Linked DNA regions of Struthio camelus. The protein of the gene in region 4 binds, or shares a complex with, the protein of the main gene of each other region. Links are inferred from orthologs where the notes say so. Each region holds a gene or a part of one and is shown on either strand. Other genes may lie near its edges.

Region 1 (7,971 bases), on a different chromosome or scaffold from region 4:
CATCACATCTTTTAGGAATAAGAAATGAAACATGCATAGATGTGCTTTTCAGTGTATCCTGACAGAAATACTTTATCTGCAAGGATGCTAGAGTTAATTCAGTCTCAGTGAATGCTCTGGTACTGCCACACTTTGTCAGCTGGGGCTTTGATGCAAGCCTCTCTATAACACAGCCATGAGAAGCATAAGGGTCCTGGCACGTTAAGGAGAGAGTGGCATAAAAATGCGATTAAATACTCAACAAATTGGAACAGGGATGAGATTCTGAGTCCACTGTACCCCAAAAAGGGCTATTTCCTTTGAGATCACTGGTGGGTTATATCTGCTGAAAAACGAGATTTCAGTGGGACCAGGCTCACTGAATCTCCTTCTGTCCCCTGGGTAGAACAGATCCATCGGAGTATAGATTTCCCATCTATACATGAGTACCCAAGCCTGCTCTGCCAGGCTGCTAGTAATTGCAGACTGGTCTTGCAAAACTTTGTGGTGACAGTGGATGAATGGGTGTTTTGTTCTAAAGTGACTGCTCCAGAATATATCACTGTCACTTCACCTAAACACCACCAGTCACTCTGATTTTCAGTAGCTGCTGGGACTTGCTGAAAACAGTAGGGCCTGTCATTCTGAGATTAAGGAGGGATTAGCTGTGTGATTTCAGCCAGCCTTAAAAGAAAGGTTAAACACTTTGGGAGGAGGAAGTGTGCATGTGTGTGCGTGCATGTGCGCATGTGTTCCAAAACAACAGATGGTTTCAATAAAGTTGCTCCCGCTGCTAGGAAGTGGCACTTCTTGACATTAGCAGAGCCATATCTCATCAGGGTTCTTGTTTCTACCAGCCTGTCTCAGCAAGGCCAAATCCACTGTACAGTATGGGGTAATCAGAAAAGGCACTCCAATATCTGCCCCATTAATTGCCCCCTGCCAGTCCTTGCTCTCCTCTGATGTAGCGCCCACTGTGCTCAGTGTGCTAAGATCAATTGGCTTTGAAGGGCAACTTCCTCTAATGATCTGCAATTCCCCCTACTTAAACTGCAACAAGAAGTGTCTTTTTAAAGATTCTATAAGAAATGTGTTATTTCTTGGAACCACTAAATAAAAAACTCTACTTCAATCAATGTATCGATTTATTAAATAATTGTGCAACTAAATTAATGTGCCCCTTGGTGACGGAATTGCAGAAAATGAGCAGTTTTATGCATTAAAGACAAACTGGTAAAAGATTGTTTTCCAAGGTTATATCGTTCCACAGTGAATATGAAAATTTTTCCAATTAAAATATGAGGGTTTTTCAGAGTGCGGTAGTATCAATTGTATTACTTCTCACAGATGCACAGTATGACTTGATTTAACACATACAAATAACAGAACAATTGTCAACGTTACTAATTGATACATCTTTGGAGATAGCAAATAATATTATTCATTTTACCAGTATTATATTTAAATTTTAGAGTTAAATAATTTTGCTGGAAATTGGCTATTTTTTTAATTGGATAGTTTCATGAAAAAAGTAACGGTTCAAAATGTTGCCATGAAAACCTAAAAAGCCCTTTGAAGCTTCTCCACATCTTTTTTCTTTTTTTTCTTTTTTTTTCTTTTTTTCTTTTTTTTTTTTGACTATGTGGTATGTGGGTGGAGGAGTGTGGGAAGATGGCGGAGTAGAGATTGATTCTTCCTCTCTCTATGCCCTCCATTTTTCAGTGAAAAAAAATCATACAGGGGAGGAGCAAGAAAAAAGTACAAGGAGGAAGCAATGACCTCTTCCTGAAATTTTGGACTAAGCATTTTATACAAAATAAAGATGGAAATATTCCTTTGGCTTAAAAACTGTTCCATTTTAAAGCTGTTTGACTGAAACCCTATTCATACTTTTCTTTAAATTTTGGTCCAGTGGTATTTATTATCTGCATTTTGCTCACAGGAAAAAAAACATCAGCAGGATCCCCAGAAGTGCTCTGGGCATTATCTCTTGTCCAGCAGGGGATAGTTTGGCCAGTTTCTCATCAGACGATCCAAGCTAAGAATTTGCCAAAGATCTACTGTGTTCCCGGTCCCTGTATTGAAGGTAGATGAAGCAAAACTTCCTAAATAATGTGTTCCGTATGTGTAACAAAGAATGGAAACATTTTCAATAACTGAATTGTATCTGCAAAAAAACTTTTTGATGGTATCCTCTAAGTTCTCAAATATCTGCAGAAAAGTATATTTTACTCATTTTCTCCTAAAACTTTTTCCTTCCCTCTCTTCTTGCTTGGTTTCTTGACAAAGACATTCTTCATTCTGAAGGCAAGGATCCCAGTAAAATTAGTGCCAGTTCTGAGTTCCTCAAGAGAGCAATGTTTGTGATCACTCATAAGACTCTGAATTCCTTCTCATTCGACATTTCATCTTTATTTCTGAGTCTCTGAATATCAAATGGGAAACAATACTTTCTCTACCAAGTGTTCTCAGCTGTGTGTTTACAAGCTGTATGTGCAGGAATGATGAAATAGGTGTGAAATTAAAGCCTTCATTAGAGCATTCCAGTCCCTCAATACCCAGGAAATGTCCTCGGTTTTGGATTCTTGCAAAATCTCAAATGGTATAATCAGTTGCAATGGACTGCTGGCCAGAAAAATAATAATAAAAAAAAAACTTACCTGAAATTATAATATTGATAAGGGAATTTACATCAATATATCTCAAAGGAATTCACAGCTCCTCATTGTCTTCTGGGAAGCCAAAACCCATGAAATCAAATGATTTGATCAACAGCATGCAGTAAATCAGTGTTAACACTAAGTCAATAACCCAGTTTTCTGACTCCTAGTTCTGTGCTCAAATCCTGGGCCTGTATTAATTCCCAGGCAAAACACAGACAAAGAGAGAAAGAAAGGCATGCAGCAGAAAAAAAGGGAGCTGGAACTCACTAAGCATCTTGTAATTTCTGAAAGTTTTGGTCCTAATGTTTGTATGCAATGCAATTGCAATTTATAATATCTAGCTTTTACATACTAAGTGACATAATTTGCTCAGGCAACATGCTTCTCATTTTACAGCTGAGAGACCGAGCAAATCATATGCAGACCTGGATGAAGAACCCTGGCCCCTGGATTTCCATGGGAGTGTTATATTGCGCTAAATCTTTTTAGTGCTAAGGAGTGCTAATGAGGGTTTCCAGAAAGAGGACTGAGTGATGAGGTATTAGGCACTTGAGAAAGACTTCTAACTAAGAAAAAGAGCTGCTATCAATACCTCTTACAGAATATTTGAACCTGTATAGCAATTTATTGCTTTGCCAAAAACCTTACAAAGGTAAGCTATTGCAAGAAATACTTTTCACTCTGAAGTACTGGCTCAGTGTGGTATCTATATTAAAAAACATTCTCCGTTTCACTCCTGCATTTCGCACACTAATCCAGCCCAGCCTAAGTGTCCACACCGAAGGAAATGAATTGCATCAGGCAATGTCATTTGCTAAAAGGTAAGAGTGGAGGTATTCTCCTTTCCTTTCGTTTTATATTTCTGGGGTCAATTTCACAACCCAGGCCAGTGCTGAATGGGGAAATTGGAAAACTGCAGAATCGATTTGCAGACGTGAAGTTCTATTTTCTTTTACACTTCTTTCATCACAGTCTCTATCATTCTCATGTTGTGTAGTATTATTATCGACAGCAGCCTGGACACCACTGATAATTGCTAAACTAGGGAAAAGCTATTCCTTGCAAGCGAAAGCAAAACCACAGAAGAGGCAGTCACGGAGCAGTACTAGTCTTGCTTTTAAATTCTTCTTATTTAGACTGTTGGTAATGTACCTATGGTATGTTATTTCTGAGAGTTAAAGGGAAATGTGTCTTTAAGATCTTATTTAAATGAATTTTCATTCACTTGCTTTATTGATTTTTACAAAACAAACTTCTCAGCCAACTATTCAGCTGCAAAGCTGAATCTATTAAAATAATCTATTTTAATAAAAACAGAAAAATCCACAGGCCTTCTGAATGCTTCTAGTATTTGGTAATTCTTCTTTCATTAAATGCATTTCACAAAGGAAAAAAAAAACCCACAGCAAATTTCTGGTAATGACTTAGTTATCAAGAATGAAACCAGTGGCTCGTCACTGCAGATAACCAAAAAAGCTGGCAACTATCAGCCACTCGATCTCTGGGACAGAGAGAGAAATGTACTTTGTAATATTAAAGGTCATTGGCAGCAAAATGGTTGCTAGAGGCATTTAGCTGCCTCTGTAGGTAGCACTGGCATTGCTAATCTGGCTGGCAGCAGCGTGCCGGGCGTTTGGGGGGGGGCGTACAAATACAGAACAAAATGACCACTCCTGGCATGCTGAGCTTGCAGCCTGAGTAGCTGGTTATATGTTTTGAGGAAAGAGCAGTTCGGCCCAAGCAAGTCCTGGATCTATCAGCCAAACGCCTCTGTGCCCTGACCGCGCCCTCGCTGTGTCAGAAGGCCTGCAAGTATTTTCTCTGTTTCGCTTCTCTCTGCTGGTTTTCGAGCGTGGGCCGTGGTGGCCGCTGTCCCCAGCCCACCCGGTGGGCGCCGCTGGGGCGACACCTCCGCCCTTGCTGGGCCTGGGAGCTTGTGCTGCAGGAGGCACTGCAAGGCCTGTAAAACTGATGAGGTAGGAATGAGAGGGGGGGGATTTATGTCCATGGAGGGGCCATTTCTGCTGGGTGCCCCCGGAGAGGGGAACACTCTGAGGGCAGCGGTGGCCAACAGCAGGGGTATGGAAAGGCGCCGCGGATCGCTCTCATGCCCCTGGCTGAGGGTGGAGGCCGCAGGGCCCCAAAATGGCCGCTCTGCCGAGCGACTCCCCCTCCCCTGCGCCAACCCCGCCGTTGCTAAGCGACGGGCAGAGCCTGCCCCCCCCCGCAGCCCCTCTTGGAAACTACAACTCCCAGGCACCCCGCCCCTCCGCGAGACTACAGCTCCCAGCATGCCCCAGCATGCGCCGGCACTACATTTCCCGGCAGGCCGCGGGGGCGGCGGCCAGTCAGCGCGCCCCAGGCTGGGCAGTGCGAGGAGCGGGGTTGGCTTCCGCGGTAGTAAGCGGGCCGCGGGGAGGAAGCGGGGCAGGGGAAGCAGCCCCGGTGACATTTCCTTTCGGGTTGCCCCCCTCTCCCGCTGCCGGAGCTGGGGCCCCGAGAATGGCAGCGTTAGGAGGTCGGTGCGCCTGGGCCGCCTAGGCGGAGCGGGTGGGTGGGGGAGGGGCGGCCGTGCTGAGGGGGGTGAGGAGCGGCCTGTGGGGGAGGGGCGGCTGTGAGGTAGGGTCTCTCCTGAAGGGTGCCTGTGGGGGGCGATGGGGAGGGTGCTGGGGGCCTCTATGCTGAGGGGCGTCTGTGGGGGGTACATTGGGAGGGTTCTGGGGGCCTCTGTGCTGAGGGGCGTCTGTGGGGGGTACGTGGGGAGGGTGCTGTGGGGCCTCTGTGCTGAAGGGCGTCTGTGGGGGGTACGTGGGGAGGGTGCTGGGGGGCCTCTGTGCTGAGGGGCGTCTGTGGGGGGTACGTGGGGAGGGTGCTGGGGGGCCTCTGTGCTGAGGGGCGTCTGTGGGGGGTACGTGGGGAGGGTGCTGTGGGGCCTCTGTGCTGAGGGGCGTCTGTGGGGGGTACGTGGGGAGGGTGCTGGGGGCCTCTGTGCTGAGGGGCGTCTGGGGAGGGTGCTGGGGGCCTCTGTGCTGAGGGGCATCTGTGGGGGGTATGTGGGGAGGGTGCTGGGGGCCTCTGTGCTGAGGGGCGTCTGGGGAGGGTGCTGTGGGGCCTCTGTGCTGAGGGGCGTCTGTGGGGGGTATGTGGGGAGGGTGCTGGGGGCCTCTGTGCTGAGGGGCGTCTGGGGAGGGTGCTGGGGGCCTCTGTGCTGAGGGGCGTCTGTGGGGGGTACGTGGGGAGGGTGCTGGGGGGCCTCTATGCTGAGGGGCGTCTGTGGGGGGTACATGGGGAGGGTGCTGGGGGCCTCTGTGCTGAGGGGTGTTGGGGGTGATAAGGAGGATGCTGGGGACTTCTGTGCTGAGGGGTGTCTGTAGGGGCGCATGGGGAGGATGCTGGGGGGTTTTGTACTGAGAGGTTTTGGCAGGTGAGTGCCCCACTGGGGGAGTGTCTGGGGGTGTGTGTGAGGGAGGGGTGCTGGGGGGCATCCTAGGTGTTCCTGTGGGGCAGGGGTGCTTGGGTGAGGCACCTGCAGTGGGTGGTGTCAGTGCTGGATGGGGAAGATTATACCTAGGAGGGTTGTTTGGGAGGTGTCTATGGGGTCTAGGGTTGGGGACAGGAAGTAGGAGGAAGCCTGGGTGAAGAGGGCCTGTTTACAGGCAGAGAGCAGTCTAGGGAGGTACCCTGTGCAGGGAGGTGTGCATGGTCATTTGCTTGTGGTGGGGAGTTTGTGGAAGGAAGGTTGTCTTTCGGGGATACCTTCACACTGTGTACGTTTGAGGGGAGCTGAGCAGAGAAGGAGGGCTGGGTACCCTTTGATGAAAGACTTCTGTGAGATTGGATTTGTGGAGAGTAGAGGAAGAAGGGAGGAGTTTTTGAGAGGTGAAAGTGGGCAGTATTTTGGGGGAGGAGATATCTAGGAGGAGCAGAGCAAAAGTTTCGGGGTGCAAATGGTGAGGAATATTAATAGATGAAGAAGATGCCCATGGCAGGGAGAAAAGAAAGGTGATGAGAGTGACTGGGAAGGTTTCACAGCATGAAAAACTGTAAGATGGGTAATGCCATGGATTGGGCAGAAATACTGGGACATGAGAATGAGTATCAATTCTTGGCCATTTCCACCAGTGCTGGAAACTGCCTTGATTGCATGTGCTGGACGAGTAACTGGCAAGGTTGGAGAAGAACTATTCTGAAGCTTCTCAATGGTAGAAAGGAAATGAAACTCTCATGCAGTACTGGATACATAAGAGTTTTCTTACGTGTCAGAACTTTGCTATGAAGTGTTGGAATTGATCTAGCAAAGTATTATTTGCTTGGAATTTACTCAGTAGTGATTAACATTGTTTCTGAAAATGTGCAAGTGCAGTTCTCCCCTTCCCTTATGACTTGCTTGTTTTGAATGTTGCAGCTCTGTTATTGTAATAAAGAAAAGTAAGATCTCTGAAAGGAGAGCTTAAAGTATGGCATTTACTGTTTTATTTGGGGAAGGGTGTTTTCAAGACTTTTCCTAACAGTAGTTTGAAGAGATATTGACAGTATTTGGCCCCACGCCTGCTATAAGAAATGTGTGCCCGTTGGCAGATCCATACTGATTTAATTGGGACTGTCTCAAAGTTGTGTCTGCGTTCTGATTAAGAGAAATTGTAGCTGCTGAATACCACCATGGGATAGGATTTAAACCTTCTGTTCATCATTCTTGCTGTTCACTGTCCTTTCTTCCCCTTTGTGTAGCCCTAAATGTGTTGGAGGTGTTCTCGGTTGCAGTCAGCAGCATTACCTGATTTGCAACTCTTACTAACTAATGTTTTTCTTTTGAGCTCTCCTTTGTTGTTGTTGCGCAAAAATCTTGTTACTATTATGAAATAGATTTTTGCGCTTGAGATATTGCTCAATTTTCGCTTTGGGATTTACTTCATTAAGCATATTATGTGTTATTTAGAAGCATATGCTTCACTTAACTTGTTTTTACAACGATGTGACTTCCTTCACACCTGAGTAATTTTAAATTGTAATAGTATTTTATTTGTGAAGAAAAACATGTAATCATGTATACAAATTTATGTGACTTTATCTAATAGATTTGCTGCTCTACATACAAAGGCTGTTTCTTTATGACTGTACTATTTCCAATCATTTGTGCAAGTTAGTAACCAGTTCCTGTTTCAGTGTAAAGTTAAGTACATACATGCAGACATGCCTAATGGCAATCTAGGTTGAGGGTTTATTTTATTCTTCTACGTGCTTTATTCTTCCCATTTTACAAGGCAATAAGCATTGTGATACTTGGTGGTTTGTTTTTTTTTAAGTGATATAAGTAAATATTTTGTATTTA
Region 2 (7,449 bases), on a different chromosome or scaffold from region 4:
TTGGACCTCTTTTTCTTGCATAGCTTCAGCACTCTGTTTTGAAGGCAGAACAGCTTTTCTCTCATCTATGTAAGTTCCTGGCACCAATTTCTCCCCTTCATGAGGGCCATATATCATTCCTTCACACGAACTAACAGAAAATAAGTCACGCTGCACTATATTCTCTGGGACTGGTTTACCACTTGCCACATCATACAAAGGAATAGTTTCTTTAAAGGACTTCCACAACTGAATTGCTGGAGAGCCATTTCCATATTCTATTCTTACTTCCTCCTTCTCAAAGGCATAGCTTCCAGAAGGAAGGTTTCTATACTGTGTAGAGCTAGAAGGGCTTTTATTATGAAACTCTCTGTCTACCACAATGGAAGATCCAGAAGAATCTTGTTTCTCTGAAGTACTTTCAGTCTCTGTACCTATACCAGAAGAAACACAGGCCATATTTCCTGCATCACAACCTTTCGTTTCTATATGGGTATCTTGATGCTTTTTTGGCTTGTTCTCAGGCTGTCTAGGATCAGTCTGCGTTTCCTTTGTCTCTGTTTTTTTCCCAGGGGTACTATAGTGTCTAAATCGTGTTGCATGATAAAACATAGGGGAGGGTGGGGGAGCATTAAAATAAGGCCTTCTGTTAATTCTTGCATGCATTGGATGCTGTGGAACAAAAAATCCAGGGTACTCATGGAGTGCAACAGAATAAAATGGAAAATATGGATTTCCACTTCGGAAGCCTAGACAGTGGGGTTAAAAAGAAAAGAGACAAATGTATCTTTTTTCCAAAAGAAATCATTCTGATTAATAACTGCTTGCATACAAAGGAGCTTCTACAAAATCTGACCCTTAAAGTAATGCTTTCAAGTGTTGATGGCTGAAGTGTAAGTCTTGCACAGAAACCCCAGAGAGGGTGCCATGTTATGGAACAGCTTATCTAGACAGCTACACTTTGTAATTAAAATTTGATTTTGTCCCAGGAGCATGCACTAATTAGGTTTCCATATTTTCTGCTATTATACCCACTAAGTCATAGCACCGTTTTTGAAAGACGGCTGCAGTTATAGGTAGCAATTAGCATATGTATACTATTTACATTATATATTTAATAGTACTGTTTCTTTGTGTGATTTATGTTTACACAGAGTGTGTATGTGCTTGTATGAAGCTCATTTACACACATACACTCTTAGGCATATTCTAGAGCCCTATAGCTATAAGATAATAATATTTTGCTTCGCTTCTATTCTGCGGAAACAGATACCTTTCAATAGCACTACAGTTAACTAACACTTCAAAACCTGGATCTTTTGAAGACTGAAAGACTATGTTAATTCCACTCTAAACTCTCAAGAGGCTTCTAAACACATACATATACATTAATCTCCTCCACTCTAGTACTAATTTACTAAGCATAACTACTTCAGACGGCTGCCATTTACCTTACCTGGCGCAGGTACGCAGTATGGATTATACGCATGACTGAGGTACCATGGATTTGGAAAAGGCTGTTGTGCTGTTGGCTGTGCATAAAAAAATGGTCTTGTGTGGTTTGTGGAATATGATCCACTTTCTGAAGCTGAGGCAGTATTCATTTTTTGTTTCCCTCTTAAACACTGAAAAAGAGAAGCGGTAAGTGACTTCAACATATTCTGTGCAGCTTGACAATTTCATGCCCTGTCAGAATTCAACAGGCATTTCTCTCCCTATCCTCACCTCTAGCCCAATGAGCCAAAACCTTTCCCCTGCAGACAGATTACCCTCTAAATAAAAGGTAGAAAACTGACATTGCTGTGAAGTCAGAGATTTTAATTCTCCTTTACCAAACGAACTTATGTACTACTCTCAGTACTTCAAGCCAATCTCCCTCAAGCTTCTCCAGAACCCCATTTTAAAAGTCACAAAACAGTCATAGGATTTATAACTTTAACATAGCTTTATGGGCATATGGCCATACAAGTAGTATGCCAGCCAAATGAAAAGCTAACATTTGATCAGTCAGTCTTGATCAAAAGGCCTTTAAAAAATTAGCTGGAGCAGTGGAATGCTTCACACAGTCAAGGGTTTGGTGCTTCATAAAAAAGTCCTTGTAGACATCAGCACACATGGTGTCTTTGAGCTCACAGTAAGAGCTCTATTGATTCAGTATTCTTACATCAGAAGACACTTTAAAACAAAAATAACTAACATAATAAACCAAGTTTTTCAGCAACACAATTCCCATGCTCAAACCAAGTGACAGGCAACAAGAAAAGCAAAATCCCTATGCTTAAGTCCACATTAAGAGCAATATAAAAATTCACTAGTAAAACAGAACCCTTCCCCACATCTATGTATTTCTTCAGTACATTCATACAGCAAGACTAGTCCAGTCCAATCCACAGGAGAGATACAGTGCTGTCAGATACAGTTTATAAACAAGAATAAAAGTAATAGGAGAACACAGAAGATTCAGTGTTTACACAGGAGAAAGACAGCAGTTCAACTATCTAGAGGACTTGAACTTTGAAGTTACAGAAATAAAGTTGAAGTTAAGACCTCTTACAGACTAGCACACAGCTCACACCCAGGGAATTGTCAAAAAGCTTTCAGGAACACTGGAGCCCTCTTCAGTTTCCATCTAGAACAGCCTGCCCAACTCACCATAAGAACCAAAACCCTATAGACTCTCCTCACTCTATTAGAGTAAGACCCCCCCCCCCCCAATGACTTTAGCAAATACAGAAACAGGAAAGGAAAAAAAAAAAACCTACACAAACAATCTACTCCTCCCCCATTAGGGCCCCTCAAAACTAAGGTCCATGCTGCTGCTGCTTACAGCCCAGCAAGAAACTAGCTGAGCCCTCTTTCAGCTCACCTTCTTTATGGAAAGCAGCTACTATGGTCCACTCCCTCTCCCACCTGAGGCTCATTTAACAGTGATGGGGGACCCTTCTCCATCAATCAGTGGGAGGAACAAAACACGGGGATAGGAATGGCAGTAAAACCCTTCATCCTGTGTGAAGAAAGCTAGTAGTCTCATCTTGCAGACGGTCAAGTTACATCCCTAAGTAATTCTAATACATCCAGTATTTAGGAATATTTGTAACATTGGAACTTAGGTTAAGCAAGCAATAGGTGTCAAAGGAAATTGTTACCCATCTTCCACCTAAAACCCCACTGTTAAAGACATTGCTTATAGAAACAAAAGATAGAAAGGAGGAGATTAAGTTTACATCTATTTTCAAAGTTTATCAGCTGCTCAGTCTGATTACAAGGAGCAACGCTCTTCCATTCTCACACAACTACTTGGACAGGTGACTGTAATTTTCTTGTACATGAACAAGGGAACTATATACTCAAGCCCAATGTACTCTACCAGGTGTAAACCAGAGTAATTTATGAATTTTATGGTTATAATTTGACTCTGCCCTGTGTCTTACAGGAAATGAGAATCTGATTTGCCACTTCACAACTTGACGTAACCAGAGTGACAGAACGCTACAACTGCCATTGGTATTGGGGGAGATGGCGAGAGAGGAAGGCACAACTAATGCATGACGCACGTAGGTCACTGACCAGAGAAAAAGAGAGGTGTGTGGATGCTTAGATATGGTTTGTATATCTAGGTTGGGAAATTACTCCTACTTCTATTGTTTCGTTGCATAATGTTCATAATGTGCATAATTAACCTTGTCCTTTGCACCAAGACACAAATTCTGAAATGGGCTCTACCAGGGAAGAATTGTTGATCTTGCTGTTCTCAGAGCTCCCCAGGCAAATCTCGCATCTTGTCTTTTCCTCTGATCTTGCACTTTGATACAATTTCTATGATTTGCCTGGGATTTTTTAAACCCTCAACTCCTGGAATGATCTGATTAGGCTTTCACCTACTTTTGAATTACATTTCTCTTGGTGCACAAAAACTGGAAAAAACAAACAAAATCAAAGGAAGGAAAAAAAACACTCCGTGGTTTTTAAAAAGTTGATTATCTCAAGCTTTGCCTTTTCTTTGGATCAGCCTTCTCCCCTTTCCCTTGCCCTGTTGTTTCTCTCCCCCTGCAGATGTCAGCCCTCAAAAGCCTCAGGCTGCATTTGGTAAAGGGGCAGGCAAACCTGGGCTCTGCATCTCTGGCACTGGGCCAAATGACGTTTTTAACCGTACGGCGTCTAAGCCCGAACGAGGACCACAGGAAAAAAACAAAAGAAAACAAAAACGGAGGTCCTGGGAGGAAGAGCGGGACGATGCCGAGCGGCGCCTCCCGCCTTCCCGCCCTCCGGCCGTTAACCGTTGAGCCCACAGCGCTCCCGCGCGCCGCTAGCCGCTCCCGCCGCGCGCGCGGGGCGAGGTCGGACCGCCGCGCAGGCGCACTCGCCCCCCTCGGGCTCCCGCCGCCTGCCCCGCCTCGGCGCGCGCCTGCGCAGCTGGCGGCGGAAGCGCCCGAGCGGCCGCCGTTGCCTTGGCGCGTGGGCGCTCGCGTAGGCAGGGGGAAGCTCGGGGGAGAGGAACAGGAAACGGGGGCGGGGCCGAGGCTCCAGACAGGGCGCGCGAGGCTGCGTCCCCCTCCCCCCCCCCGCCGCCGCTCTGGGCATGCGCAGGGGGAGGCGGACGGGTGCGGCAGCGCGCGGCGCATCGTAACGGCCGCCGAGCGGAGGTGATGCTGCTGGCGATGAGGAGGAGGAGGCGGCGGCGGAGGGCAGCGCGCCTGCGCGCGTAGTGGCCGCCGCCTCCGCAGCCCGGGGGGGACCGGATCCTCCGCCTCCTGCTTCTTCCCAACCTCCCCCCCCCCACCCCCCCGCGCTTCTCGCCGCCCGCGCTCGGGACGCTGAGGCCGAAGAGGAAGCGGCGGTTAGAGGTTTGTCCGAGCGATGGCGGCACTCGCGCCTCCCTGCGCCGCGAGGCGGCGGCGGCGGCCGCCCTAGCCGGGCCCGGCCGCGGAGCCGTTTGCCGTCTCGACGCCCCGTGCCGCGGCCTGTGGGCGTGGGGGGCCAACCCGCCCCTGACCGCGCCGCGGCCTCGCCCTCGCCCCGCCGGCGGGAGGCCCGCGGGGGCTCCGCGGCCGTCGTGTCCCTCCCTTCTCCCGCCAGGGCGCGGCCGCCGTTTCCCGCCTCGCAACTGCGGCTATAGGCGCCGGCGGAGACCCGCGGAGGTGGGGGGCGGCCTGAGGAAGGCGGCGAGGTGGTTGCTGCGGCCGCCTCGCCGCCCATGGCCAGCGCCGGCTGTCGGCGCGGCGGGGCGGGGGAGAGCCCGGCCGGAGGAGGGAAGCGCGCCTGGCTATCGGCGGGGCGGCCGCCGCCGGGCCTGGCCCTGGCCCCGGCTCCCGCTGTGCCCCGGTACTCGCGCAGCGGCTCCGTTTCACTTCCTTAGGGTTGGTGGGGGAGCATCTTTGAGGAAGGAGGAGAGGGAAGTGGAGAAATGGAGAGACGGGACGGCACACCTGGGTATCGGGAAGGAGCGAAGTGTGTTCCTCCTCTAGTACTGTGCCGCAAGCTGGAGCGGACTGCGGAGTGCGTCCTTTGATAGAGGGAGGAGGGAGAGGGGGGATTAGGGCTTCCAGCGTTGAGTGCTCCTCTTCAGCCCCGCGGGTAGGGGTGTCTGTAACGTGAATGCTTTTAGAGATGCCTGAAAGGACAGGTAGGATGGAGTCTTGCAGGAGAACAGCACTGCAGCGTACACTGCTGTTTCTTGTAGTTGACCACCTTTTCTTGCTGATATGTCTAGGTACGTGTACATATGGTATTACTACCCACAGTGACTTTTGTGGGGCTTCAGTACGTGTGGATTTGAAGATTCAAACAATTCTTGATGAACTTTTATACACTAAACATATATGTAGTAGAGAACACGAGATGGTTTGAAATCAACCATTTGCATGCATGAGATTTCCCAGTATTTAGTGTTTTTGTTTTTAAAAATACTTACTACAGGGAAAAGATATCTGCTGCTTTTGAAGTAACTGTAATTATGACTTAGATTTGTGTAGTGTTTAGTGCCTCATTTTTAGAGGTTTCCCTGCAAAACCATGGTTTGTTGTATGTTTTGTGTGTGTGTTTTTATGCTACTTCATGTTCCTAGTGGACCTGAATAGTATTCTCCTGCCCCACCTTCAGTTTATCCGTTTGTTTCAGAAACTACAATGCCTGCCTATGGTGGAAATCTCTCTGAGTGACTGGAGTTCACCTAAGATTATTTCCACTTGAATTTTGCTATGATGATGCTGTTAGGAGATCATTAAAATACCTTATCAGCTTAGTTTGGCTTCTCTTAAGTGTATTAGGAGAAACAGATAATTGTCAATACATGATTTATGTGAATACTTGAAATAACCTCATGATCTGAGCGTAGGGGTTGCTCCTCCTATCTAATGATTTTTGCATACGGAATAAAAAGGCCCAGTTATACAAGGTGCTGTGTAGCTCTAGCATCTTGCAGGAACAGACCAAAGCTGAGGAAAGGACTCTGCTGCTCGTTTACTCGGTATTTTTTAACTAAATTTTGGAGAGTGTGATTTTCTTTTTTCTTTCTTTTTTCTTTCTTTTTTTTTTGAGGCAGGCTTTTTAATTTTGGTCATGGGATTGTGAAATAGACCAAAACTGGTGCAAATCCTAAAATGGCTCATCCTTAATTTAGTTGCTGTTCCATTTTGAGAATAAATGGATGTGAATGAGGTACCCATTAAATGACTCTCACCTTTCAGGAAGTAATTTATGATTACTTTAGCTACACTAATTATTAGCCTAATTTCTTAACATAGAGATACTTGAATTTACAGTTTAAATATTTGCACTGAAATAGTGTGATGTTCAAGGGAATGAGGTACACTTGTGAATTGGAATTGAAGTTGTTAAAGGAAAAAGACTAGCTTTGCTAACGTTATGGAGTTCAGTGAAAATGCACTTGTTCTCTACGGTCATGATATATGGCTGGACCTGACTAGAGACATCCAGGGCTTACTTTTTTCAAATGTTAATTTACCAAAGCAGGTCAATTCTTTCCACAAGACTGAAGTGCCCTTGGGGATGGAAACTGTACCTATGCTCTACTTAGAAAGCCAGGTGCCACATTAAGTTGTTGGTTTATCTTGTGCTAATGTTATTTCTGGGCAGGTTTTCCCTTTGCTATGTAATTTCCTTTAGGAGCAGAAACACAAGAAAGAAACTGGTACTGAGGAGTACACTGTGACCAAACACACTTCCAGTCTGTAGCTTCTGTCTAGTTTCAGGAAGCTCATCTACCTTGAAGTTGTAACTCCTATCCCAAGCATAATATGTGTGGAACAACTTCCTGTAAGAAATGAAAAGTAATTTTCAAGATATAAACAATGTAGGAATAAGCTGGTCCTTTGAGTTTTTTGAGATTTCATGTCATTGTCTTATCAGATATAATCTCCTTGATGCCCTCAAATTTCTGGACTCCAGTGCTGTCAGTGATAACTTTGGCTTCAGGAAAGAAGAAAACTTCCAAGTCTGAAGCTGCTTCAT
Region 3 (7,312 bases), on a different chromosome or scaffold from region 4:
TAGACTTTGCAAAGTCTAATGGTCAGTGAGCAGACAGTGGTTATGGGATACGCAACGTTCCCAGGCTTGGGGGGAAGGAGGGGGGGGGACAGAGCAGCCTTTACTGGCTGGCGTGATGCTAACAGCCACTGAGGGGCTATAAAGTTGATCAGCAAAGACAGACCGATGTGATGGTGGTTAAAGGTCAAGCCAGGGGGCTGGGGGCGCTTGTTACAGCTCAACACTTCCTAGGCAGCACTCCAGCAGCCACTGTTTTAAGCCAGGCCAGCCACGCTCACTGCAATTCAATTGCAGTCTATAAAAGGCTGGAGTAAATCTACGTCTCAGGACAAGTGCTGACATTACTTCTTCAAACCTACCCCTTCCACGGAGGCAGAGCGCCAGCGAATGCCACTGCCACAGACACCCAAGCTGGCTCTGTCCATCCTGCTCCACCTCCTGCCACCCAAGGCCATGGCACTGCTCAGCACCCTCCCTTTTGTAATGCTGCCACTTCCCCGCTGCCTCACAAAACGCTGCCTCTGCTCCTCCACCTCTGCAAACGGCCACATCCTGCCCTTCTGTTCCACTCACGTAGCTCATCCACGTCGTCTAAAGCTTCCTCCGGCTGTTATGAAGCACCTGAAATCCTGCAGGCTTTGGGGAGCCAACGATTACCACTGCAAGGACAAAAATGGTGTCATAATTCACACATACATATAGATATATACACACTCCTTTCTCATCCTTGACTATCCAGGACCATACCCAGCACTCCTTCCAGCACTGGAGGGACATTACATGTTACACACCCCCACACACGCTCATTTTCACACTTTCGGAGTATGTGTCATGCCACCACTTGTCATCTGTTCCCAAGCAGTCTGCCGTCACAAATTTCATTTGCCCAGCTCCTTCAATCGTACGACTTTCAACCGGCTGCCTCTCCTCTTCAAAAAACCACATCGGAGACACGGTGCCAGCCTCGCTGCTCGAGTTACTCGCACCTACCCAAAATATAGCGTGCGAGGTGATCCCAGGGCGCAACTCGCACGCGTGAAGAGGCTGAGGGACTGCGGATGATAATCCCAAAAGACTTAATGCTCAGAAATGAACAGAAAAGGATAGGAAGTTTAAGTTCCCCAATGCTATAGCTGCCTACAGCCTCCTGGGTCTACGTTACGGTGCTACTGCCCTTCCGCAGCAAATTTCGCGGGGTTTAGCTCTAAGAATCCTGTGCCCGCACCGAACCTGCCCTACGCAAAGCAAACTTCCACCTACGCCTCTTCCCCAAGCGCTTTGCTGAATACAGTCCTATCACCATATCACAGAGATAAACCATAGCAGATGGTCAGAGACACAAAAGAAACAACATGTGTTTTCAGGTAAGAGGTAGCACACAGGACAAGGGGAACGGAGAGGCCCCAACGAGGCTCCCATCCCACTAAACAGATCCTTTGAGAGACGGACAGGGAAAAGAGAGAGCACGCAAGTCCCTCGGACTGCTTTTACACCTACTCTGAAAGGGCTATTACTGGGGTAGCAATGAATAACACAGCTGTGTTAACAGCAGCAGCTGGCCTCCACCCGAAACGTGCAGGGTGTATGACAAACACGTCAAGTCGCTCCTAAGGTGGGTTCAATATAAACAAGCATCACAAGACACAGGAAGGAGGGAGAAGAGAACAAGGTTTACATAGTTTAAAGGTTAGAGAGTCATTTGTTTGTCCCGGGACTCTGGATCCGTCCTGGACAGAACGAAATACATTTGGAGGAAGATTATGAATGCTATGGCCCATGACGCACTGACCAAGGAAGTCACTCCAGCAGATCACAAGGGAAGATGTGCAGAGGCTCCCGGGGGGAACAAAAGCCAGTTATGAAGCTGGGGCGCTCTGTACGAAACGCATGAGGGATGCCACTTAGGTGGCTCCTTATGAAAGGGTGAGGACAGAAGTCTTTGTGAGCATAGCTTTGGTCTAGTCTAAAAAAACAACAATCAAACAAACAAAAAACAGCCTAGAAGTGAAAGGAGGTACATTATGGGGGGGAAAAAAAAGGAAAAAAGAAAACAGGAGGAAAAAAAACCTCTGCTTGTAAGCTTTGAAACGCAAAGGGGCCTGTAAGGACAGCAAAGTGATGGGGGACTATTTTTTCCTTTGTCAGTTCAGATCAGTCACTTATAAAAAATCGCACACTTCTAAAAACGAGGTTTCTCCAACTCATTTTATCACAAACACTTTGGAAGTCACATCCCTTAAGCCACAGAATCGGTTTTTGAGAAACACACACATAACCAGCAAAGCAAGGATGCTTTACTTTCATATTCTAGATACAAACGGCAGCTTTTTGTTATAAAAGACTAAAGCCCTTTCCCTCCCTAAATGTGTCAGTGGCAGCTCTCTAAGCACGTGAAACCTGCCCTAGGAAACACGACGCTGCAAAATCACAGGCAAGCGATGGGGCCGGTGATCCGGCCAGCACGCTGGGCCCCCTTCCGCACGGGATAACGTACGGCTCCATACATCCACGCTCCGTCTCTTGCCCTTGCTGCGCGCTTTAACAAGAGCGACTGGCCCCGCTCGGGGAGGGCAGCGCAGGGCGGCGGCAGGTGGGCACGGCCGGGGCCGGGGCCGGGGCAGCATCCGCGCACGCCGTGGGGAAGGCGATTCGCGGCGGGCGAGAGGCGCGTTTGCTCCGCTGCTCCCCGGCGTGCGAACAGGTTTTGGAAAATAACTCACCTCCTCTATCCACGCTCGGAAAAGCAAGAAACCCAGCGAACCTGCGTGTGGGAACCCCGCCACGGGAAAGGTCAGCGCAACCCCGGCTCCCACGGCCCCCGCCGTGGCCCCGCGGAGGGCCGAGCGCCGCGGCCGCCACCCCCGCGCACGGCTCCGCGGGCCGGCGCTGCCCCGGGCTGCCCCCTCGCCGCGCGGGGCCGCGGGGCACTCACCGGCCCACGCGCGCTGCGCTGCGCTGCGATCCGCGGCCGCGCCCCGCCCGCGCCGGCCCGGCCCGGCCCGGCCCCGCGCGCTCCCTGGATACAATGTAGCCGCCGGGTGGAACGCGCCTCGCGTGGAACCCGGGGGCGGGGCCGGCCGCCGCCGCCGCCGCCGCCGCCGCCGCCACTCAGGGAACGCCGAGCCCGTGACGCGCCCCGGGACGGCCTCTCCGCCCCGCCCCGCTGCGGCGCGGCGCATGGGAGGGGGCGGGCCCGAGCCCGGCGGCGCGACCAATCGGAGGAGAGGAAGGGGGTTGAGGGGCGGGGCGAGGCCGCTGGGTGCCCCCGGGTCCTAAAGTCCGCCTCGCGCCCTGCAAAGCCCCTTGTGGCTGCCCTCTCTCCTCCCTGCTGTTGCACCCCCGGCGCAGCGCGCCTGGCGGCCCCGCGGGTTTGCGCCACCCTCTGCGCTGGCACCCCACTGCGCGATTTTAAAAAAACGGCTGGGGGCATCGGTGAACACTCTCCAGTTTTCTTGCTCATAAAAGTCACTCAGGAATTAGGCTCCTGGCCGTCCGCAGAGAGCAGGATTGGCACCCTGCGGCACGCTGGCCTTGCGTGTCGCTCCCCCAGCTTCAGCCTGGCACGCTCGACCCAACCCTACAGCTGGGACACGAAAACCTCTGATGAAACTAACGTAGATTTACTAACTCTCCAGTGTCAGCTCAGCAAAATTGCAATGCAGGGGTAGTGTAAGGGTCAGCAAAACCCAAAAGGGCCCCGTCGCCTGCAACTCCGTGCAGAGAGATTGGGAGCAGACAGGAGGTTTGCCAGCGGACGTACCTCCTGGATAGGGACAGCCAGTTGGTTACTGCCTTCCTCCGGAGGGAGCAGGGCGAGTCCAAGTAAGCGCTTCCTTCATCAAGCGTTACAGGACTGGCAAGAAAATAGTCTTATTTGTAAACAATACAATTTTCCCCATAACTCGTGAGCAGGTGTTGCAGTATTTGTAACAATACTATCTCTGCATACAACATGTAACTAAGGAGTTGAATCTGTAGCATGATTTCACAGTGCCTGCACCTCTTCTGGGAAATGTGTAGTGTTCTTGCTACCAAAAGAAAAAAGAAAAAAAAAAAAAAAAAGACCAGAAAGCCATGGATCACAAATTTTGGACACACAGAAAAGGCAAGGAAGAGATATTTCTTACCTTCTCTCATGACCTCATTTCTCCAGGCCTTCTCCTTATACTCAGTCACAAACTTTCAGAAATGAGATTCAAGTTACAAGCGAGAAACTTAATAGTGCTATTAAGCATATCTCCCCAGATAGTAGCTGGATGGAAATATCCAGGTCCAAAGTGTATAGGTTCTTCTATACAGCCAGTACGGTCTATTTAAGGCCTGCACTGAAGAAGCTCCTTCCCACCTAGTAAAACTCTTCAAGTTTCCTGCTGAAGAAACTGCCACCACTTGTCCTTGCTTCGTAGCAGTGATTCATACGAAGCACTGCTGACATGGGCAATTTTATATAGCGTGGGCATGGGAAGAGGTGGAAAGTGGCTGCTATGGGGATTTATTGAAACAATAATCCCAATAAAAGGCTACATTATAAAATACAGTCCGTTCTCATCTTCCCAGGTTGAAACAGAAGGACATCTGCTACGGCTGGCAGGGCCTGTGTGTTTAGTAAATAGCAGGGTGCACTGAAGATGCTGAACTATATCGAGCTCTTCTGGATCTGTGTTGCAACCAGGCCATTGCAGGTTAACTCTTAGGGCACTGCTGTTTTCCCAGCTAAGAGCACAATTACTCCTGAGAGGCCCACAAATTGTCCCGGGGCCTTTTAATGACTTTAACGAGCTGCTCAGGAAGACAACAGGGATTTGTGCAAGAGGTGGGTGTGGTGGCATCCAAAATGCATCTGTCAAACAACAGCAACATTAAAGACAAAATCGATTTTCACTGTGACTGTTGAGTTCCACCCAGTCACTCGAAAGTGTGAAAGAGCTATGGAGGAATGGGAGGTCATGTTTGTTAATTGTGAAACACTTTCAGACTGCTATTACAAAAGCAAAATCCTGTCCCTGGCAAGCTGCATGTGTGAACTCAGCTTGTCTTCTGAATCCTGACAGGCAGAATTTTTGGCAGCTGTCAGTCATAGAGGAGCTCTCTGCAAAGTTGTATCTGAAAAGATGCTTTTAAGACATAATGCCTAACACTAATCTCCTGCCCACCAGCTTTCTAGCTTTATAACTCTCTTGATCCCAATACAGTTGCTCCTGACTCCCACCAATGCAGTCGTGGGTGGAATCAGACCCCTGGGGCTGTAATTCCAAATAAAGCAGCCTTGTCAAATTCCCCTCGCTTGCTCACCTCGGGCAAGTCATTTCTCTGACGGGTGATCAGCAGGACTGTCATCATCCCGGTGAAGGCCAGGCAACTAGATTTTCTGCCTCACTGGGCGTTTGCAACAGTTTTACTGTCTAAACACTGCTGTCTGTGACTCTCATTCATTCTCCTGTCTCTGGCAGAGCTAAACACCAGGCACTCCCAGCAAGCCCTGGAGGAAGCGTCCTGCACTGTAGAGGTTCACGCATCTGGTGTTAAGCTCTGGGTGCTCACGGAGGTAGGATTCGGATACTAGGTTTTTTTTCCAAGGGAGCAGCTCCTTAGTATTGATAGCACTGTCAGAAGATAGTGTGCTCGAATCGCTGAACACTGCATCAGATATTTTCCTTTGATGGGAAGAAATCTATCTATGCAAGGAGTGATGCTTTGAGGAGCAATACTTAGCCACACAAGAAGGCTGGATCTGCAGTGATGGGCACAGCGGACATACCAGGACTGGCAACTAGCTCCTCTCACTCGGAAGCTGAGCCAGATATCTGGGAAAGCAGGGGGAGCATAGGGGGAATGGTTAATTGCAAGGGAAAAAACCCTTGTAGGGCATTTACAAAAATTTCTTGTTTTCCTCTTGTTTAAGAGGATTTAAGTATTAAGAGTGTGTAGGGAAAAGAAGCTTAGTTTATGATGGATGTTAATACCAGCTCCTTATATATGATACTGGCCTCAGGCATCCCTTAAGGTATTTAAGGGACTAATACTCTGTTTATGATTTCAGTTTACAGGGGAAATTCTCTTGCACTGTTAAGCAAATCATGCCCCGCGTTGGCCTTTGGTTGGTGTACATAATGGGCAGGCAGTGTTAGCCAGCTGGGGTACAAAATCTTGCAACTTGTTGGCATTTTGAAAATAAATTGGAAAATCGTTAACTGAGATTTTCCCCTTCACCTTGAATCATTAAAGGGAACAGGGGTTAAATATTTTTAAATTTGGGGGAAAAAACAGTTTTAAATAAAAAAGTGTTTACCCTGTTGCCATATTTGTTTAGCACAGCATTCATTAGGGATGAGACACTCACACATTTGCAAGATTATACATTTGGTCTAACTTGCTTTAAAAATCAGCCCTAATTGCCTGGTTCCCATTAAAACCTTGCCTTCCCAAAGGTGGATGTTCCAAAGATTTGCCCTACCCAGCGTTCACTAGCTGTTTGTATCTATTTATGTAATAGATCTAGCTCTGGAGGGAGTTGACTAAGTAGGTGATGTTCTCACCTACAGAGAAGCAGCAGGAAGAATAAAATCTGGCCAACAAACCACATTGACGTCTTTGTATCTTTTTTGGTTGTTGTTGTTGTTGTTGTTGTTGTTTTTAAGAGAGCATTTCCGTCCTACAAAACTTAACTCTTCAAGAGGTTAAATAAGAAAATTTAGTGTTTTCCCCTCTAGGTCACTGGTTTCAGTCCACTGCAGGTCAGTAACACGCCACGACTGCTAATGGCTGCTAAGTGGTCTGTGTGAATTAGTTTAATGCTTCTCAAGCCAGATGCTCGTTGACAGATGCCCAAAAAATCACGACTCCAATTGGCTTCCTCGTTGGCAGTCACAGCAGGTTGGTCAAGGACTGAAGAGGCCATGCAAATTCAGCAGTTCCCCTAGGCTAGGAACACTGACAAGGTTGCTTGTGAATACTTTCCCCTGTTGTGAATGCCAAGAGCCTTCAGAGAAGGTCACAGCACAATGCTAGGAGCACCGAGCACCGGTATCAGAGGACCCCATCCATGCTAATATCTCTCATTCATCTGGGGGAACTCTGGTAGCAAAGGTAGGAAAATACAGCTGAAGAGTCCCAACAGAGGCAGTTCTGAGGTCAAGGAGATGATGCAAGGTAGCAAAGAGAGTCTTGACAGAAGTTTTCACACTTTGGCTTATCCTGCAAGGGAGGACAAACTGCAGAGCTGCCAGTCAGACTAAACTAACGTACTTTCCCTACAGCAACAAAAAAAAGACAAGCTTCCTCCCTCTCGGCCTTCTCCTCCTGATGCCAAATT
Region 4 (7,450 bases):
AAAAGTCTGAAAGTGGATAGAAACTATGCGAAAGAGCGCACCTTGGCGCTGTCCTGCTTCTTTGAAGGGAAGTATAGTAGTGTCCTAATAAATCATGCTTCTGAGTATTTCCCATGTTTTTATAATACCCCACTGACCCCATACCTATTATAATCTATGCACCTTATACACGGAATCAATCCATTGAGATATTATTTTGATTTATAGGGGAAGGACTAAGACAAGGCACTAAATGGGTATTTACCGGATCGTGCTGAGCTTTGTTGGTCTTTACGTGATTTGGAATAAAATTCTGCTTTTGGCAGGACTACCTTTGTCAGAATCCTCAATGCAACGTATTCAAAATCAACCTATGTTTATTCACTGGTTGTTTATTTTGCTGGTACATATCTCTGTGTTGTTACAAAAAATACACATTTTTCCCTCAGTTGTGGAAGTTGTGATGGAAAGAATGATTTGTTTATTGTTTCTCCCAAAACAGTAACATGGGAAAGTGAAGGGACTATCTTATAGATGGGGTTACTGTGTCACATATAATGCATGCAAATTTGAAAGCAACCATCACATGCAAAGTGATGCAGCTTAAAAAAAAATGCCTGCTCCTTTATTCTGCACTTTAAAGGGAGAGAGCTCACTCTTCTTCCCACCCCTGTATGCAAATACTCTTTTGTTTGTCTGTAGGAGGACCTTATAGAGTGAGGTCAAGCCCTGAAATGCTTATCTAGGAGTTTACATTCAAGCGTTTAGGTACTCCTGGGATCAGAATTGGGTCATTCTGTTTCCTGCTGTGACAGAAACCTTTTTTTTCTTTATACTTGTATTTTTCAGTAGTTGTATATCACTGAAGGCGGTGAGTGAATATGTAAGGAAGACCTGAAAATTTAGGTATGTGTGATTCCTTGGAAGTGATGCTTATCTTCAAAATATTGGTTCCTGGCTTCAGCGGAGCATGATCAAGCCTCAACAAGGAAAAAGTCACTGTTTAAGTTTATAAGAACATTTTTCTGTAAGTTAAACAATAACCACATCCAGCTTTTAAAAGCCTGATTATGAAGATGTTAATCAAGATTGAGTCTGATGTAGCATATTGTCTTCACATTGGTCAAATATGTCTGCTGCCCTTCACATGACTAAGGTAAGTGCTAAATCAGATTGTAAAGACAGTGTTTGAACAATTAAAGGTTTGTTGCCACCTTCAAGATAAATATATCAATGAAAAGGGTCATCCTTCTCGTGCTGACAGAAAGGTGATGATATGCCTTTCAGGTGAAAAGGTTCTGTATGGATTACCAAGCACCTGAGCATCTTCAGTATTGCATTTAGTGATATGTTCAGCAAAAAAGGCCTGATGACCTCAGGAAAAAAAAAAAAAAAGTGAATGGCCACTTGGCATACACTGCATATGTTGAGCTTTTCTCTGCACAGTATAATTTGTTCTGGGGGCCTTCATACCTCATGTCTGTATGCTGTTGTGATTGGTGGAAAATATGACTAAGGTTGTTGCAACACACACGATCCTGAACGTTCAAGAAGGGTGACCATTCTTTTTCACAAGAACCGTTACCTCACTGCAGGACTAACTGAAGATATGCAAGATACGCACGTAAAATAGCTGCCATGACCCAGTTAAGCAATAGGGTGGCTAACTCTTCCTATGCTAGTCTGTCCTCCTCCACTCATCTTTCTGGTTTTGACCAGTCTATAATTAATGTTATAAGCACCTAAAGAACCTCTAAAATAGTTCTTTGTGTGAGCTCCAACCTTGTTTTTAGCAAAGCTTCATTTTGTAGATTATGTATGGAAAGAGAAAACTTGCAGTGAAAAGACTGTAGTTGTCTCCACATGGTCTGTCCCAGAACAGACCTCCAGAATGCAGGGAGGAGCTCCTGGTGCAGTTCTGTATAGCAGATATCCCCACCAGGTCGCAAATCTGCATAAGGAGATGTCTCAGGCAGCAGTTTCAGCTTTTAATAATATAAGAACTAGCAATATACGTCTCTTTGTGTGTTAGATCTACAGGCTCACAGCGTGGAATTAAGCTAGCTGGCATGGGTATTGAGGGAAGTGGGTGTGAGAGTAATTTTACTTTTAATTCAGCGTACCATGCTGGGCTGAGCAGCAACTAAGGGTGAGTCAGCACTTTTCAGACCCTCAGATAAAAATGTGTGCTAGTAGCGACTAGGATGAGCAGAAGGCGAGAGACTGATGTTCCAGGGTTGCGGTAAGCATAGGCCAGTATGGGAGGAAGCACAAAAGCAGTAATTAGAAAAGTTTATCTAGAACAATCGGCAGTAATGGATACTTGGAAAGTTCATTAGGATTGTTTTCAGCAATTTTTTCCCTTCTTTTCCTGAATGAAGAAATGCCAGTTCCTCAAAAGCAAACTATTTCTGGGAAAGTTTGGCTTTTTGAAAACAGTATTGTATTTGTTGCATTGCACACTTGCAACATTCTCAAAATGAAAACTATTAGGACAAATTTACTTTTTATTTAAGTGTTGTGATCCGTTTTCACAAGAGTCAAAATGAAAACTTTTCAAGTGACTTGATCTTCACTGTTACAGAAAAAATATTGGAATTTACTGTCATTGAAATACAATATTATCCTCATTTGGCAAAGGAAATACTTAGGAGGAGAAATAATCTGCAAATCATATTGAAACAATACAGAAGCCATGTTCTTCATATTAATAAAGGGCAATCTTTCCCTTCCCATCACATCTTTTCTGTTTCATCTACATTCACTATAATTTTAAGCAGGGCTGGCTGGTATTGCAAAGTCATGTTGCAATCATTGTTTATTGTGCTGCTGTTATATAACATCTTCTCTAGGCGTATACTTAATTCTGATCAGGAGATTAAGAAGAAATCCCGTATACAAACATCTGTAGTCTCAAGGGGAAGTGGTTGTAACAAACTGAGAGACCAAAATGAAGTTACTTCTGCAGAAGGTGGGCCAGCTCCGAGAGGTATGTTACCTCTGAGGGCAAAGGCTGCAAAGTGTAGATGCACCTGCAGGGAAACAGTGATAGAGAAGCAAGTGGAGCTGGATGAAAAATGGACATTGCAAGATGCCCAAGATTCAGAGTCTGGTTTAAGAGTCACCTAAAAGAAATGCTCTTCCTGGTTATGCTGCGTAGATCCTCTGGGGGAACCCGAGCAAGTGATGTTTTGTCCCACATTTCAATTTCATCCACTAACTTTTCAGTTAGTCCCCTAGTGACTAGGACCTAGATTTCTTTTTTTTGGTTGAGCAACGTAACTTCCAGAGGTACTAAGCTGCTGCCGACTTACAAAATCTGACATTTTCAAAACACTCTTCCCTTTTGCAGCAACTGCCCTTTCTTGAATGACCTATATTTAGCACTGTGCTCATGCAAGCGTTGCCTCAGGTGGCAGTCTCATTTCTCAGGCACGTATTGATGAGAAACAAAACATAAATAAAGAGGAGAGAAAACAAATGCCTTGCATCAGGGCATTGTACGAGTCTCCCACGGAGGGCTACGCCTACGGGTGGCATGATTCAGAGGGGCACAGTGGACATCTGGGAGGCCACAGAGGGCTGAGCAGCAGGAAGAGGCACAAAACGTCTGCCTTTCCTCACAGCGCCGTGCGAGCTTCACCGCAGGTGGCCAGAGCAGCGGCGCGGGAGGACAGCCCCTGTGTGTTACCCCGAAAATAAAAACGTCTCGCATCCGGGGACCCCAAGAGGGGGGATAGTAAGGGGGAGGGGGGCATGTTAAAAATAAATAAAAATAAAAAAGGGGGGGGCAGCAGGCGGTGCCAGGCACCGCGCGGCCCACGAGGTGGCCTGCGGCCTCAGCCCGCCGCGCTGAGGGGCAACCGGCCGGCGTCACCGCCTGCTCGCGCGCCGCTCGCCCCTCCCCGCCGCGCGCCGCTCTCCGCCAATCAGCGGCCGCTTTCGCTCCCGCCCTCCTTCCCCCCTCGCCGCCGGCGCCGCCCCCGACAGTGACAGCTCGGAGCGGCTCCGCCCCGCCCGCCGCCGGGAGGCCGGCCGGAAGTCTCGCGAGATTCGGCGCGGCGCCCCCGCCCCTCCGCTCCCTCTCTCCCTCCCTCCTCCTTCCCGCCCCCTTCCCTCCTTCCCTCCCTCCCTCCCTCCCCCCCCCCGGCGGCGCCCCGCCCCGCGGCCTCCTGCCGCCTGCCGCCGCCCCCGCCCCCGCCCCGCCGCCGCGGCCGGATCTGTCTCCTCGCTGCCTCGCTCGCTCGCTGGGTGGTGGTGGCGGTGGGAAGGGAAGCGGAGGAGGGGAGGGGGGGGCGCCCGGCCTTGCGCACTGAGCGATGTTTGTCCGCCATCGCGGCGGAGGAGGAGGAGGCTGAAGGAAGCGCCGCCGCCGGAGCCCGGGGCCTGCGCCGCCGCCGCGCCCCCCCCACCGCCGCCGCCGCCACCTCCCCCACCCCCCCCCCCGGGCCGGCCCGCCGCCCGGCGCGGCGGCCCGCAGTGAAGGTCGCCAGCGGCCTGCCCCGGCCCCGCTCCCGGGGCCCGCCGCCCCGCTCCGCCTGCCCCCGGCGCTGCCGCCGCCGCTGCCTCGCGGGAGGCGCCGCTCCGGCCGGGCCCGAAGATGTCGAACCTGAGCAAGGGGACGGGCAGCCGGAAGGACACCAAGATGCGGATCCGAGCCTTCCCCGTGAGTACCGGCCGCCCGGGCCTAGCCGGGCCGCAGCGCCGCCGCCGCAGGCCCCGCCGCCGCCCGCCCGCAGGCCCCGCGGCCTCGCCGCGCTGCCGGCACCGCCGGGCGCCCTGCGCAGCCGGCCCGGGCCGGGCGCCGACCGAGCTGTCAGCGGGCCGGGCGGCCCCGGGCCCGGCGGGAACCGCGGCGGGAGCGGGGAGCTCACGGGGCTGCCGGCCGCCGCGCGGCCGGGGCAGGCGGCGAGCTGGTGGCCGCGCTAGTGGGCTGCTCGCCAGCCAAGCGAATCGGTCGCGAAAATCCACCCCGGGCTTGCGGGGTGGGGGGGGCCGGTTCCTTTGTTTTGGACGAAAAGGCCTGGAAGAAGGAGTCGGAGGTTGTGTACCTGCATCAAGAACACTGGTGAACCCGGGAAGCAGGGTGTGTGTGTGTGTGTGCTTGTTTATGTCTTCTGCGGAGTTTTCTCTCGGTGAATTTATTTCATTCTCCTCTCTGTGGAAGAGACTACAAGCCTATGATTATAGGATTTAGGTGGCAAAATGCCAGGTGTGCAGAGTGTGTTACTATAAACATCTGGCCATAGGTAACTTCCACGCGTGTTCGGCAGAGCCACCAGCATGCCATCTCCTTGAGTTACGGAGGGGAATGAGCCAGTTTATTAATTTATACTGCCATAAACCTTGCTCTGTTTTGACAGTTGGTGCAATTAAAGCTTACGACAGAATAACAGCTACAGTACTATTAATGGTGTTGAAGGAACGAGGGAAGTAGGAAAGCTGCAGTGTGCCTAAGGATGGCCAGGAAGTGTGTGCGTGTTCATCTATGTATGTGTTAAAAAGAAGATTCTTAGTTGAGTCATTGGCTTTTAAAGCTTAGCATAACTTTTTGATGTTATGCCTGATCCTAAGCGGCAGTGGTATAGAACTAATGTGCCTTGCCTTTATGAAGAAACTGGACATACCTGTTTATGTTATTTCCCTGGCAAGGAATATATCAATATATTTGCTTCATTGAAACTCTTGCTGATGAAATTAGAGAATCCTTTATGTTCTCAACAGCTGGTTCAGCCATAGCAGTCTGAATTGTACTGCTGTCCTCTTAGTCCTTCCTGTACTTTTAAAAGTAATTATTGACTGTTACGTTTAGTGGTAAAAGTTAAAAGAAAAAAATGGGCTAGGAAATGTATGCGTTTTAGCTGATGAAAGGTTTTTGATCTTCACATTATATATTTTTAAACACTCTTTTTTTCAAGAACGTTACTACTGTTAGGATATTTTGGTTTATGGGAATGCAGGGAAAAGGCTTACTGCAACGTGGCCAGGGCTTTACAAATACATAGTAGGAAAACTTGTGCAAAAATTAACCATGAGAAAAGCTATGGTCCATGTTTTATAACGTACTACACCAAAAGATAGCAATTTTTAATTTGATAATCAGATCCTTGTATTATAACTCTGTACATATGTAGATATGGGTCAGCCAACAAAGGCAGGCCTAACAATGGCATAAACTTCGATTTGCGTTTTATTTTTTTGACCGTTCTTGTAAACGAGCATACGAAATTAGGTTGGTGGGTGAAGAATGCTCATACAGAGGCCTGTTCTTACAGAAAGTCAAGCATTGTCATTGTGGTTTTTTTCCTTCTCAAACTGTTTGTGTTAACATTGTTTCTTTTTCCTTTTCAGTTGCTTAAAGAATATTTAGATAAAAAATCTTGAGGGAGGAAAAAAAAAAACAAAAAAACTTCTCTCCCAAATAGCGCAATAAGTATATATAGGCATCAAGGCCTACAGATCTTAAGTATTTGCTGATGTCTATCGACAGCAATTTTTCAGGTGTTCTCTTCGATAGATTTTCTTTTCTGAGGCATATTGTTGACAATCCTGTTGATAAAGCCTTTATAGAAAAGGAGCATGTATTTGGGTGAAAGACTTTGAGGGTTTTATCTTTTATAATTACAGAAGGCTATAATAGTTCATGTAAAATTCTAACACCAATTTTGCAGTCATCTTAATGTTTGTATAGCTTTGGCCCTGTGAATAGGGCCAGTGACTGCAGTGGGATTATTCATGTCAATGAGGTTACATTTGTTTGCAGGATAGAGTCTATATTTAGAATGCAAACTCTTCATACTTCAGTTACTGATCCTCATTCTTTTATCTTAGATTTGTTGGTTCTGCTCTTCAGTTTTGAATTGGGAGCACTACCAGAGACTTCTCGTATGTTACTTCAATTTGTCATCTTGCTGATCATCTCTGCCTGTTTTTGTTTAGTTGCCTTCTTGCACTGGGAGCAGCTCTTGATTAGTATATTAAATTAGAGGTAGCCAAATTGGACAGGTAACATAAAATTGCTATGTTCCAGGAGCCTTATCTACCTCTGTGTAGGTTCATAGGTCATCATGGATCTCACATTTTCTGTTTTTATAATCTTTTTGATATTTTTCTGATATTGTTATCTGTTACAGTAGCAAAAGGAAGAAGAAGTAATATTTTGCAAAATAGTATTACTTTTAATGTTTCCTTTTTCTGCATTATTAGAAGTTGGGTGAGTAGAAATTGCCCAAAACTTTTGACCACAAATGTTGTACCTAGAGATTGTTATGCTTTACGATTAGTTTTGTTCTAGATTCTTTATTGTATGATTTCTTGTCACTGGTGGCAGAATATCCCTCATCAGAAGTGTCCTTTAGCATTTATTAGCTCCTGATATGTACTCTGAGTTGCTCTTTCTTTCCTCAAAGCACAGTGAGTTCTGGGGATTCTATGTTGAAGTGGGTTGTAGAGTAATCAAAAGTAATTGAGG

What was found.
Region 1: CUL3 (region 4) and KBTBD8 share a complex: the UniProt entries of both Homo sapiens proteins name them as parts of the BCR(KBTBD8) E3 ubiquitin ligase complex. The link is inferred for Struthio camelus from reciprocal best matches to the Homo sapiens genes CUL3 and KBTBD8.
Region 2: CUL3 (region 4) and KBTBD2 share a complex: the UniProt entries of both Homo sapiens proteins name them as parts of the BCR(KBTBD2) E3 ubiquitin ligase complex. The link is inferred for Struthio camelus from reciprocal best matches to the Homo sapiens genes CUL3 and KBTBD2.
Region 3: CUL3 (region 4) and KLHL25 share a complex: the UniProt entries of both Homo sapiens proteins name them as parts of the BCR(KLHL25) E3 ubiquitin ligase complex. The link is inferred for Struthio camelus from reciprocal best matches to the Homo sapiens genes CUL3 and KLHL25.

The regions. Positions count from the first base shown.
Region 1 is NC_090955.1:13,899,819-13,907,789, forward strand, and holds the start of KBTBD8 (kelch repeat and BTB domain-containing protein 8), read left to right. Parts: upstream 1-4,959; 5' UTR 4,960-5,144; coding exon 5,145-5,160; intron 5,161-7,971. UniProt on the Homo sapiens protein: Substrate-specific adapter of a BCR (BTB-CUL3-RBX1) E3 ubiquitin ligase complex that acts as a regulator of neural crest specification.
Region 2 is NC_090943.1:55,282,364-55,289,812, reverse strand, and holds the start of KBTBD2 (kelch repeat and BTB domain-containing protein 2), read left to right. Parts: upstream 1-4,448; 5' UTR 4,449-4,823; intron 4,824-7,449. Other genes in the region: uncharacterized protein, read right to left, coding at 1-728, 1,436-1,637. UniProt on the Homo sapiens protein: Substrate-specific adapter of a BCR (BTB-CUL3-RBX1) E3 ubiquitin ligase complex that acts as a regulator of the insulin signaling pathway, modulating insulin sensitivity by limiting PIK3R1/p85alpha abundance in adipocytes.
Region 3 is NC_090953.1:8,595,289-8,602,600, forward strand, and holds the start of KLHL25 (kelch-like protein 25), read right to left. Parts: upstream 3,019-7,312; 5' UTR 2,933-3,018; intron 2,844-2,932; exon of another isoform or gene 2,721-2,843; intron 660-2,720; exon of another isoform or gene 574-659; intron 1-573. UniProt on the Homo sapiens protein: Substrate-specific adapter of a BCR (BTB-CUL3-RBX1) E3 ubiquitin ligase complex involved in various processes, such as translation homeostasis and lipid synthesis.
Region 4 is NC_090950.1:12,984,686-12,992,135, reverse strand, and holds the start of CUL3 (cullin-3), read left to right. Parts: upstream 1-4,445; 5' UTR 4,446-4,579; coding exon 4,580-4,645; intron 4,646-7,450. UniProt on the Homo sapiens protein: Core component of multiple cullin-RING-based BCR (BTB-CUL3-RBX1) E3 ubiquitin-protein ligase complexes which mediate the ubiquitination and subsequent proteasomal degradation of target proteins.